Linked DNA regions of Caenorhabditis elegans. The protein of the gene in region 1 interacts with the protein of each later gene in a pairwise test. Each region holds a gene or a part of one and is shown in the gene's direction. Other genes may lie near its edges.

What was found.
Region 2: the proteins of metl-9 (region 1) and mctp-1 interact in a two-hybrid assay, tested with the Caenorhabditis elegans proteins (one large-scale study listed by BioGRID).
Region 3: the proteins of metl-9 (region 1) and flwr-1 interact in a two-hybrid assay, tested with the Caenorhabditis elegans proteins (one large-scale study listed by BioGRID).

What each region holds. Positions count from the first base shown.
Region 1 is NC_003284.9:5,177,000-5,181,063, reverse strand, and holds metl-9 (DREV methyltransferase), read left to right. Parts: upstream 1-1,913; 5' UTR 1,914-1,949; coding exon 1,950-2,009; intron 2,010-2,065; coding exon 2,066-2,335; intron 2,336-2,381; coding exon 2,382-2,468; intron 2,469-2,747; coding exon 2,748-2,857; intron 2,858-2,905; coding exon 2,906-3,179; intron 3,180-3,229; coding exon 3,230-3,364; 3' UTR 3,365-3,545; downstream 3,546-4,064. Other genes in the region: sru-48 (Serpentine Receptor, class T), read right to left, coding at 1-229, 405-614, 660-890; Zinc finger C2HC domain-containing protein zchc-1A, read right to left, coding at 3,633-3,771, 4,054-4,064.
Region 2 is NC_003279.8:6,634,417-6,639,257, reverse strand, and holds the start of mctp-1 (C2 domain-containing protein), read left to right. Parts: upstream 1-1,828; coding exon 1,829-2,048; intron 2,049-4,742; exon of another isoform or gene 4,743-4,744; coding exon of another isoform or gene 4,745-4,841.
Region 3 is NC_003284.9:14,968,387-14,971,931, reverse strand, and holds flwr-1 (Calcium channel flower), read left to right. Parts: upstream 1-1,660; 5' UTR 1,661-1,679; coding exon 1,680-1,750; intron 1,751-1,812; coding exon 1,813-1,932; intron 1,933-1,986; coding exon 1,987-2,112; intron 2,113-2,469; coding exon 2,470-2,653; 3' UTR 2,654-3,032; downstream 3,033-3,545. Other genes in the region: tbc-1 (TBC1 domain family member 23), read right to left, coding at 1-71, 117-240, 502-659, 725-934, 991-1,066, 1,117-1,172.

The sequences.
Region 1 (4,064 bases):
CAAAATTGTTGATGATAATAAGGAGAGGGACAGCTAAAGTCAACGGGATGAAGAATATGTCGTGTCGTATTTCATCATAGGTTTCGGTGTAGGAGATGAAGACAGACCCGAAGCCCAAAGGAGATCCCCATTGTCTACAATAGCCTTTTGCTGGATACATAAAGTACGTAATTCCAAATGGTGAGAAGAAAGCCAACGGAATGAATGTGTAAAAAACGTAAGACGACCACTGAAAATAAGGCGTTATTAATAATGTTGACGGTATTTTCACTATTAGATTTGCGCATGTATCCCTCTACTTCAAAGGCTCATATCATGGTTGCTTTTGAGCGAAAGGGAGTGCAAGCATGGGTGCGCGGCAATTCTACAAAACGAGCCAGTGTGGCTAATTAGATAATTGTTACCTCTGCATGTCTGGTTGGAGTTACATAGACAATCATTCGAATGATAGAAAACAATAGTGAGGAAAACATTGACCAATAGGTTCCCCACATTTGTGACAGGTAAATAATTTTTAAGTAGTGATTAGGCTCCATGGCAGCACAGCTAGCTGTAACAAATCCGGTAGAAGGCACGCGGAATGCCAAATTATCAGTTATGAAGAAAATATAATGCTGAAAAAAAAAACAGATAACAAAGAAAAAATATAACCAGCTTACCGACAACTGCATAATAACCATAGATTTAAATACGTGCGGATGGATAGCTTTGGTAGCCATGGAAGGTTGGGAACAATAAATTATTGCCATTCTGATAAAACAGATAAGTCCGAGAAATACGCATGCTGACAGGCCTAGAACACACCAAGACACTGTATTCATTTTGAATTCGTAGTTCAGGTATCTACTGTCATTGTGAACAGACATAACCAATTCGGGAAACGTGGGCATTCTTCCCAAAAGTTGATTGAGCCGGAGTGAATCAGAAAGGAGAAAAGAAGAAAACTCAAAGTCAATAACAATGGTAATCTTTAACAAAAGTGTAGAGGTGTGACTTTATCGTTCAATTCTCAGGAGATTCAACCCATAAGATCTCAGATATTCTATATTCTATGCATAACTGATGAACACGTATAAGGAGTTGGGAATAATAATGATTTTAGTTTTGAAAATAACATCTCTTAAACACGAATCAGAGAAGCGGGAAAAATATCTAAATTATTGGCTTCAGAGTCATAATTACAAATGAGAAGAAAAATGAGAAAACCGGCTCTTTGACGTAAATGATTGAAGCTTACGGGAATGACTATTTGGGATACATTTCAAGTTCTGCATGGACTTGTGCACACTTGTAGTTTTGCAGTGAAAAATTATGGCTTTACATCTGACAAATACGTGGCGAAGAAGTGGAAAGGTATTACAAATGGTTTTTTTTTGGAAAGATTTCAAAAAGTTAAAGTGTGGGTTTCAAAACTGATAGTGGAACAACTAGACAATTTGGAGGGAAATATAATATATTGTTTTTTTCTGATTTTTTAAAAATGTTTCCAAGTAGCTTTCTCCCGATTTTGGCACAACGATGTTGTGGTGGAAAATCTCAAACTTGTCATCGATAACATTGATACATCTTTTTTCTGTCCTTCAACGGCTCTTTTTCACATATTGATGGGTCCCATTCGGTGTTTATTTCAAATATATTAATTGGCACGGTATGTTTTGCATTTGGACAGTGCAATGTGGCTATTAAAAACAGGCTTTAAACTAGTTAAATTCTACTTTTTTCTTCATTTCGATACGACGAAAACAATTTTCTCGCTCATCAACTCAGACCTGTAAGTTAATTTCTCAACACACTGTTCCCGCTGCGGCAAACCCGCCATCTTTTTCCTTATTGTGAATCGAGCGCGTTTGCACACACCGGGCCAACAGTGCAAAGCGTTCCCCCATTCAAACCGTCTTCGCCACACACCACCTCTCTTCCTCTTATTGTTATCGATTTTCACTGCCAAAATGTCATTTCAACTGGAGCGGACGTACGGCTTGAGAGCCCAGCATTGGTATCAGCCAGAGGTTTGTTCTTTTTAATTCAGATAATTTTTTGAAAATTTGAAAATTAATAATTTCAGACAAGTCTCTCAGATGTTGCACAAAACTTGTTCGCCGCATCGTTGCCAGATGGGGAAACGCAGCAGTTTCTTGACAACTCCAATAAAATTGCCAGCAATTTCTTTTGGCAGACGGTTCGCAACCTTGGGGTCATGATTTTGTCGACAATCTATTCGAAAACTGATATCAATGGAATGACCGGATTCGGAAACATGTTCCTTTTCAGTGAAAATCAGTTCGCCAAGTTTCTCGCAATCGAGAAAGAATCTTGGAATTCTACCGACAAAAAGGTATTTATGGGAAATTGTTTCACCAACCCGCAATTATATATTTCAGGTGCTCGATCTTGGAGCTGGCAACGGAGACATTACAGAGCACATGCGCCCATTCTTTGAGCATGTTTATGCTACAGAGTTGTCATCGGTAAGAACTTGAAATTAAAAAAAAAGGCTTTGAATACTGTAAAACATTTTATGATGACATAATGCTTTGAAAACGTTTTCTGCGTTTCTTTTCTGCGTTTTTGGCTTAATGTCAAGCAGTTATCCCAGTTTGAATTACCTAGGACAACGAATGTATCCAAATATTTGAAAAACGCCAAGCCGGCTGTTTTGAAATTCCCACTATGAAATTTAAATTTTTTTGCAAAAACGGAAACGTTACTCCTCCTGCAAGATTACTACAAACAAAGTTTTTTTGCAGAAGATGAGAAACCGGCTCAGCTGGAAGGGATACAATGTTCTCAGTGCACTCGAGTGGGCTGAAACTGATGTTAAATTTGATTTGGTCACCGCTTTCAACCTCCTCGATCGGTAAGTGAACAGAAACTCAGATTATTCAATGAAAGCTGCAAATTTCAGCCATTACTCGCCAGGAAAGCTGTTGAACGACTTGTGGAACGTCGCTCGCCGCTCAAACTGTAATGTCATCGTGTCGCTTGTGCTTCCAGTCAGCCATTACGTGGAATTCAATCCAAATGGACGAAGCACCCGACCTGACAACTACCTGAACGTTGCTGGTCGTACCTACGCCGACCATGTTCATCATATGATCGTCAATGTTTTCAAACCGGCAAATTTTGAGGTGCTCAGATGGACAAGATTGCCGTATCTTTGCGAAGGAGATATGAACAATGTGGGTGGAAGTTTGATTTGAAAATTTTTTCAAACATCAAAATATTTCAGTCTGCTTACTACCTTCCTGACGCGATCTTTCTTCTGAAACCCATCGAGCCAGAATCGCCTTCTTCCACAATCACACAGGAAACAACTTCCGTCTCCCAAGAATCTACATCTCATGCTTCACATACCGATCTTTAGACTTTCAACATAATTTATTCACAAAATACTCAGTCACCAGTCATTTATTACGGTTCTTTCAACATACCGTTGCTTCCAAATCGTGAATCCATTTCTCCAAAGTATTTTTGCAAGTTCGTGCTCACCCATTATATCGGTACCCATGATTTTATTTTTAAGTTTTAAATGAATTTTTTGAGACAAACAGCTTTACAGGAAAAGTGCATTTTTATATGTTAAAGTATTCAAAAAAGTTTAAAAAAAAACAGAAGTATACAGAATTTGAAAATCAGAAAATACGAGAGCGAGAATTATTACGACTGTTGTTTTTGGCTTGAGAGAGACGGGAGTCGCGGGAATCGTCACGCGGACAAGCTCTGGAAGATGTTCTCGAACCACTACGACTCGCTGTTGTTGTAGTCGACGCTCTGTAAACTCTATTAATTTTTCAAAAGGAAATATGATCATATTACCACCTTGAACCATTGAAAAAATATACAAGCAGAGAGATAAAAATTAGGCAATTAAACAATGGGATGGGATAATGAGGGGAACTGAACCAAATATGAAAACCAAATTGTGAAGAAAAATGAATAAATCAAGTCAGTGGTTGATGCTCATTTTACTCATACGTTGAGCCAAGGAGATTCTGAAATGGGTAAACGAAATGCAGACGACACAAAATATAATTGGCGTGAAGAAAAACTCACGGTGTTTTTAG
Region 2 (4,841 bases), on another chromosome or scaffold:
CAAAATTGTTTTTAGCTTTTCTGAAAAAAATATATTTATGCTATCATTTGTTACTTTTTTCCAGCTTTAGTTTATTTTTTTAAATCTCTATTTTTAAATGAAAAAAATCAAGATCTTCCAAATATTAAGAAAAATGTTCCCATTGAATTTCAGTTTCTCAAGTAACGATTACTTTGTTTCCCATGCCCTTGCTCTTTTCATTCCTTTTTTCCCATTTCCTTCTCATTTTTCCTCCGTTTTTTTGCCTTTCTTGTTCTTTTTCTTATTTCTATAGCTAATTACACTCTTCCCTCTTTTTTTTCATGCTTATTTCTTGACATCGTCTCCAGAGACTTTGTTCTTTCCTTCTCATTTTCGGTTTTTTGATGGATGAGAAGCCTACAAACTTTCGAATTTTCTTCCTATCATTTTTTGTCCTTCTGTCTGTCAATTTTCCTTGCACCCCTGCTTTTCCTCACTTCCCCCTTTTCCCCATTTTTTGACGAAAATGGCAAAACGCCAAATTTTTTTTAGGAGATATGGCGAACGAAACGCATTGGGAATGCATTTTCCACCTGCACTTTGTCTCGATTCTTTTATAAATTTTTGAATGCTTTTCAAGTTTTTTATTGCATTTTTTAATCATTTTTAATGAAGTTTTGAGGTTAGGTAATTAAAAAGTTCCAAAAAAAATTATGATGAGCTGAAAATGTTAAACATAAATTTTTAAAACAACTATAGTTCAAAATATCAGCTTAAGTAAAAATAGTAGAACAAATCCCGAAAGTGCATAATATTTTACAAACACGTGAATAAAGGGGATTTGTAGTATAATGTAATTCCTTGGAGAAAAAAAACGAAAAAAAGGGAAAGAGCGTCCGAAAAACAGAAAATCGACATTTATAGAGTGATGTACGGAGTTCTTCCGCCCTGAATGTTTGCATCGTCTATTTTTATTTATGCTCCATTTTTTTTTCAGACAGAAATTTGAGAAAAAAACAAAGTTTTGAATAAAACCTTTTTAACAAATTGCAATCCATAAACTATGTTCACAAAAACGACCGGAAAAGGAGTAGATACATACAAAAAACATATATATTTTTGTGCAGTTTTTTGGGAAGTTTTTGTTGTTTTTGTGTCTCCCTTCCAAATATTCTTCCTTGTATGCTTGTCCAAACGTGAAACTGCTCTTTTTATTCTCCTTTTTGAGCATCTAGAAAATTAATGAAATTTTCTTAAGGGTGGATGTGCCAAGAATATATTTTTCTTTTTGCCCTTACTTAGCCTCATCAATCATCACCTCTATTTCTTATTTTTGCTTTTGTCAATACTGAAGAAATATTGTTAATAATAATTCTTGAATTCTGAGTTGACTCACACTTATTAAGTACATTTCAATTGAAGAAATATAATTTTCAGAGTTGAATTTCAACTTAGGTGAGGATTGTCTGCATATTTTTATTGTTTTTTGTCCAAGGTTTTGTAAAATTTCGATAATAATTTTTTAAAACTATGTGCAGTCTCTATTAGTTTTTGCGCAAGAGATAGACCGTAGTTTTATTGCGAAAAATATTTGAAAATACATTTCGATGATTTCAAAAAATCGATGAGAATTAAAATTGATCCACAAATCTAAAATTCTTGAATCTATAATAAGATGGAAAAAGAGCATCCACTTATGGCAATCCAATTGTTTTTTTTGTTTCGTGCTTTTTCACTTTTCATCTCTCTCTCTTGTCATATTCTTTTCTATTTCTTCTCTTCCATCTCTCTTCCATTTTTACTCAATTCGGACCCACAAACAAGGAGACGCTTCTCCTTCAAGTGAGAAGACGAACACACAACAAACATGCCGTGTTTGCAGTTGATTCGTCGTCGAAAAAAGAAAAAGAAGAAGGAGCAACTTGTGCAGATAGTTGAAAAAGGAGAAAATGAAGACGAGAGAATAATGATGAAAGGAGGAAAGAATGAGGAAGATCACGAGAATGAAGAAGATGATGACAATGTGGAAAGTTCCTTAATTGGGTGTTCCCCATTAACAAGAAGGCGAAGAAAATCTGCAGCAGTTGGTAAGTCTAGGATTTTGGATTCAGGTTTTGCGAGACTTTAAAATTTCAAACTACAAGTAGGGCACATTAGTGATGTTCGGCTGAATTTGATATATTTTCTGAACATTTTTAAAGTGTGTGAAACTGCTAGGAGATTTTGATCCTTTCAGGGTTTCAAAAATTGCATAATTTTTCAAGAAAAACAATTATCGTATCGAATTCAATTTTCCAGGAAAACTGGTAATTACAGTTTAAAAAAACGATATTTGAAAGAGAAGCTTTTCAACAACATGTGTTACTAATTGAATAGAAATGTATATATTTTTAAAAGTAAAGCATATAGTATGAAAACACACAAACTATTGTCTTCCAACTTTTCTTTAAAAAGCATTCAAGTTTTGTTTTTACAAGTTTATTACACTCTACTGTATGCGGTTATACCTTTGTGTTCAACCATTGTAAACAGTCATACATAAAAAACAAAAATTCAAATATCTTCCCAGGAGTGTGATATTAGCGTTCAGTAGGCAATAAAAAGCAATAAACATCTCTCTCAATTACTTCAAGAAATCTTTTTCCGGTCGCCAATAACCGTGTTGTCTGCTGATTCGGCAGTAGGGGCGGCGATAGGTTGCAACAGGCCGACCTTACCCAACTGTGAGCTACATTTGTAGCGACCTCAATGAATACAATGTCGGCCTCGAAAGAAAATTTGAGTCAGGAGGTCATGCTAATATAATTTTCATTTTCAAAATTATGATTGGATTGCTAATGAAGCTGTTGTGAAATAGGCAGGTCGATCTGTTGCGACCCATCACCATCCCTATTTGGCAACTCGCCGCACACCTCTGTAATACAACGTGTTCACTTTTAATCTCAAATTGACTTTTATCTTCAAGATTGACCATTTTCTTCATAAAATGGCCAACCAAGTTCTCAAAAAATATTTTTTTTTAATTCGAAGTATAAAAACTTCTAAATAATTAGTTTTGAACCAAGTTTAAGAAGGAGTGATTCTAGTGGGGATTTTGTGCACTTATAATCTTTCAATTAGTTTTCCAAATGTGGAATATTTTATGACAAAAATTACTCAAAGATATATTCAAGTAATTCCATGGAAAGCCTGGAAATTCCAAAAATTCTTGTGTATCTGACAGTTGAATAGAACATCAAAACGGGCCTTGTTTTGGAAATAAAGAATGTTAATTCTGGAAATTTCCATAAAATGACACCTTCTTTGCGATGGCTTTCTCTTTTTTCAGCTAAGAATTAACCCATTTTTCGATAATTTTATTAATTGACCTTAAAAACTATAATAATTAAAGTAATGCAATTTCCAAAATGTTGTACACTCCAATTTGTTAATTTTGGCATCATAAGAGTAGTTTTTAACAACTTCCCAATTGATATCGATGCTACTTTACTTTTAAAATCCATTTCAGAGTTTTTTATAGATCAGGTTTACAATAAATCACATTTAATATTTTCAAGAATTTTCTGGTAATGATTTTGAGTAAGTTCTTGCACAGTTTTTTTGCAAATAAAAAACCTAAAACAAGATATATGAATAAATAATAAAATACAATTATGCTATTAATCTGAAAAATAAGATGGTTATTTTTGAATCATCAACATAATGATAGTCTAAAAGAACTCAAAAACCACTGAAGCACATCTTCAGCATTTCCTTAAAATTACCCCCCACATCCTCTGACCATCTGCGTCTGAAATCTAAAAGCAAATTAGTATGCTCTACTCCATAACAAGAAGATGTTACACATTCTTCGTCACATCCCTCCATTTTTATCAACTTTATGTGACGGAATGTCTTGAAAATGTTATTTTTAATGTTTTGGTGAATGGTCAGAGCATCAATTCTAGATGGAAAGATGCAGAGAAAACAATCACATCCTTCCCCTTCCATTTTCCCCAAACATTTTTTCAACAACCCCATATTTTGACTCTCCATTTTCTATTTTTCGTGTTTGTCTCTGTCACTTTAGTTACAGTTTTTAAGAAACCGTTTGATATTGAATATTTTAGGATTTCTTGAGTTTAGTTTCCAATTATTCATAAAATTTTCCCACGTTTTCCGATTGAAAGAAAAAATTAAACAACTGAAAGCTTTTGTCTTTATATTAGAGTTTTGACAATAAGAAAATTGATGAAAACCTGTAGAAATGCTCAAAACTACTAAAAATCCACAGTTTTTGGAAATTTGGCAATTTACCAAAACTTTGATTGAAAATTATAAGAAATCTAAACTTGAGATTTGTTTTTCATGATATTCGGTCATTTTGGACTATTTTAAATGGATTTCTATATGTGCTCTAGACTGAGCCACCACTGACCTTTAAGTCAATTTTTAAAAGAGAATATTAGTTAAAAGTCTAAAAAATGTAGAGAGAAATGGATAAAAATTAGGAGCTTATTTTCAATTCTTACTCCCTCCCGTAATTTTAAATGTAAATTTGAATAATCCCAATTTAAGAATGCCTTTATTTAGAACGTTCAAAACTTTTTTTCCTTCCAAAAATGTTTAGAATGGCACACTGGGGAAAATGCAAATAGAAAATTACTACATACCGTACGAAAGTGTACTAGAGTCAACCCATATTATATATATATATAGTGGATATGGAACCTTTTCTGAGTAATTGAAACTCTGCTTTCACTAATTTTAACTGAATATCAGTTGATTATTTCTATTTCAGAAAATGCGAATTTCCACACTCGCTCGCATATTTGTGGTATTTCGTCGAAGGAAACGGCGAAAAATTCGACGAGAGCCCACTTTTCTCTCGTATCGAATCA
Region 3 (3,545 bases), 9.8 Mb from region 1:
ACTTGCAGAATTTCATCTTTTGCATTGATGAGGAAGACAATGGCAAGATGGAACACAAGGAATGGATCACCCTGAAAATTTTTTTTTGTTTCAGAAACTTTATGGACAGTTCCTACCTGCTCAATATATAACTTCCAAAGTTCATGGCACGATTCTGTGGACATACTGCTGGAGAATAAAGTTGCGAACCAGTTTTTCGTGTACATTGAAGGCGAGCAGTGAAGTGATTCCAAATGGTTACTAAAAATATTTTCTTATATTTATAAAATCTAAAACCTGAGCCGTTTGAATTTGCTTTCACTAAATAATTTGCACAACCGTTTCCATATAATACATGTTTCAAGCATGAAACCCTCAGGGGGGCTCCGCGCAAAAAGTTTCTGCTCAGCAACCTGTCATTTTTAAGCATATATTTTATCACTAAAAAGAAAAACCTAGGGATTTGCTAATTTTTTTTTTTTGAAGTTCTCGCTATGTAGCTTGATTTTACGATCATCCAACCTAATCTGAGGATCATGGTACTGTAATAGCAATCGGAATAAATCAAAAATCTGAGCATCTGGTCGGGTGTCTTTAGGAATATATTTCGTGGTGAATGCAAAGAAAACATTGAACTCGTGGGCGGCAGGAACATTGAGAAGAAGGATCTTTTCGAGGATCTGGAAATATAATTTTAACTTCTATAAAATGATTGCTTCTTGCAATTTGAAAAAAAGAAACTCACCGTCAACCATCCGATATCCTTGATATAATCCATCCCCCTCTTTTTGCAATAAAGTGTCAAAAATGACTCCAACTCGGGAACACTTCTCTTGTTCTTCAAACCGTTGGCAAGTTTCCGGCAATCATTTCGCAATGCGCACTGATTATTCAAATTGTACAGCTGATCCCAGTCATCCAATGGATTTGGTTTCATCGAGACTCCGAGTAGGCGCTGAAAATGTTCAAATTATCAAAAATCAGGGAAAAAAATAAAAAATAAAAACTCACCATCCAATCTGATTTATCATTTCCTTCAGTGTCCAAATCACCGAGCTCACTGCTCAGCACATTAACATCAGTTTCCCTGTAAGAATTTCCATAAAATATGCTCAACCTGTAACGAAAATAACTTACCAATTATCATCAAGCGAACTGAAACTTGTATTATTGGTTGGTCCCGTTTCTCCCATTGTTTGACTCTGTAAAAATCAATATTAAACCAAAAGTTTTTGTAATTCATTACTGAAAACCATAAATTCATGTGAAAATTAAAAAATAAAACTCGAAGTATTCAATAAGGAACAATTAAAACAGCCAAAGTCACTGGGGAAAACAATTAATCACATGAAAGATGCAACGAGAGTCCGTTATTCCGGCCCGCGTGCTGTTTAACGGTTCATTGCTGCGTTGGTTTTCTGCGCGTCTCCCGCTCTCCGTGTCATTTCGGCCGCATGCAAGAGCGGGTGAGCCCGCACTTTGCCACCTCCTCTCTGATTTCATTTATCTTTTCTTGCTCCCGCTTCTGTTTCACTTCCTTTTCAGTTATCATATGATTAGTCCAAGAAGGGAAACTTATTATTGATTAAAAATCCAAAGCTTATCGCGTGAAAATAGCAATTCTCAACGGTTTTCTCAAAGTTACTATTGAAAAATCAATAAGCACATTTTCACGTTGCAGGTAATTGTTCTCTGTCGACATGGGGGCTGCCGCGTCTGGAGTTAGCACGCAAATGCAAGCGGAACACGATCCGAATGCCGCGTTTCCATGGTGAGTCAGCCTATTATTTCCCAAGAAAAAAAAACGAGAAATGATTTCATAATTCGTTGCAGGTGGGTTCGCTTCCTGGCAAAAGGAGTCGCCATCCTCGGAGGTTTCCTCTCCCTATTCTTCGGAGTCCTCGGCCTGATCACTCTCTCGGCGACATGCATGGTGGCCATTCTTCTTCAAATGTAAGGAAAAAACAACTGAATCAACTGTAAACCTTTTAACTGTAATTTTTTCAGGACAGCTGGAGCATTAGTCATTGCGCTGGAGGCCCCATTCTGCTGCCAATTCGTCGACTTCATCGAGAAGATTGCCCGTTTCAGCGAATCGCGTGCTCTCTGGCACAAGGCTGCTATCTACGGAGCGTGAGTGACAGCTCTTTTTTTTTGATAGATAGAGAGAACAGTTCTACTAGGTCATTCAAATTATGATTTTTTCAAAAAACTATTTGATAAGATTAGTATTAAGATAGTATTAATTGAAAAATTATTCGCATGATTTCTCTTCTCAAATTTCATAGACCTAGACCATAATGAAAGAATATGTAGTAAAATATTCCGAAGAACCTTAAATTTTGATGTCTTGTGACAAGAGGCACATTTTTCAAGTGCACATCGCGTCGGCTTAGAAGACAAATTAGCATACTCTCTTGGCGTGTAGCGGGGCACAAACAACAATGTTTAATACTTTCTTGACTTCCTTGTAACAATACCAATTTTCAGCATGGGACTCATTCCAATCTTCCTGTGCATCGAGCTCAACACTATCCTTGGTAGTGGAACCATCTTCGCCTCGGGTGTTATTTACGGATTCATGGCGTTGGGCAAAAAGGCGGACCGCAGTAATATGATGGCCGCTGGAGATCCGGCGTGGAGCCCACAGGTCAACCAATCCAACATTCCATAAATTCCTAAAAGTCATTTCTTCCCGCCCTCAACCCATCCAGTAATTTTCACTTTGTCTGTCCATTTTCACTATATATTTATGTTTTCAAGTATTTATTTCTCATACATCTTTCCTCATCTGCTTTACTCTCCCCCCTCCTCTCACTTAAGCGTTTTATCTTCCTATGCAATTTGACCACGACCAACTAGTTTGGATCTGATTTTTTTTCTTCTTTTTTATTTATTGATAGTTTCCTTTTTTCTCACTATCTCTTCCCAATTATCTGAACAAAACGTTTTGTTTATACATTTGTATGCAGAGAATCTCTCGTTTCATTTCCGAGTTGTGCACCGAATACGATCTGTTGTGAAGTTACAATAAATTGGTTCGTAGTTTTCATTACACAATAATAAGTTGTATGCACAAAAACAAACTTTCCGTGGGCCTATATCACACAACTAGAAACTACATGGTATGATGCCTTATGACTGATAGCGAGCACAAAGCAAAACAAGAGCACATGCAAAAACTGGAGCTCTTGTTTTTATTCGGGACACTACAGAGGTGTTCGATTTTACAGTGGAAGAGTAATGGTTCTTGGTATTTCGAACGTAAATTTGAACGTATATGTTGCTCAAAGTGTGCTAAAATTAACGAATTTCGTAATCAAACTTCTCACAAATCTTTCAAAACGTTTTCATGGGGGAAAACTCATAATTGGTACTCCCACTGTAATAACATTTGATAACAAATATTGTGTCAGTTTTACTCTACCCAGAAGTTGTTTTTGAGGGACACCTCGTATTTGAAAAAATTCATGTATTAAACGGAAGAAACATATTACATAGTTTAGAGCAATAGGCTGTCCTCCCTTTTGTAAAGACTGGACTAAAATTAAAAGGCCTACAACAAC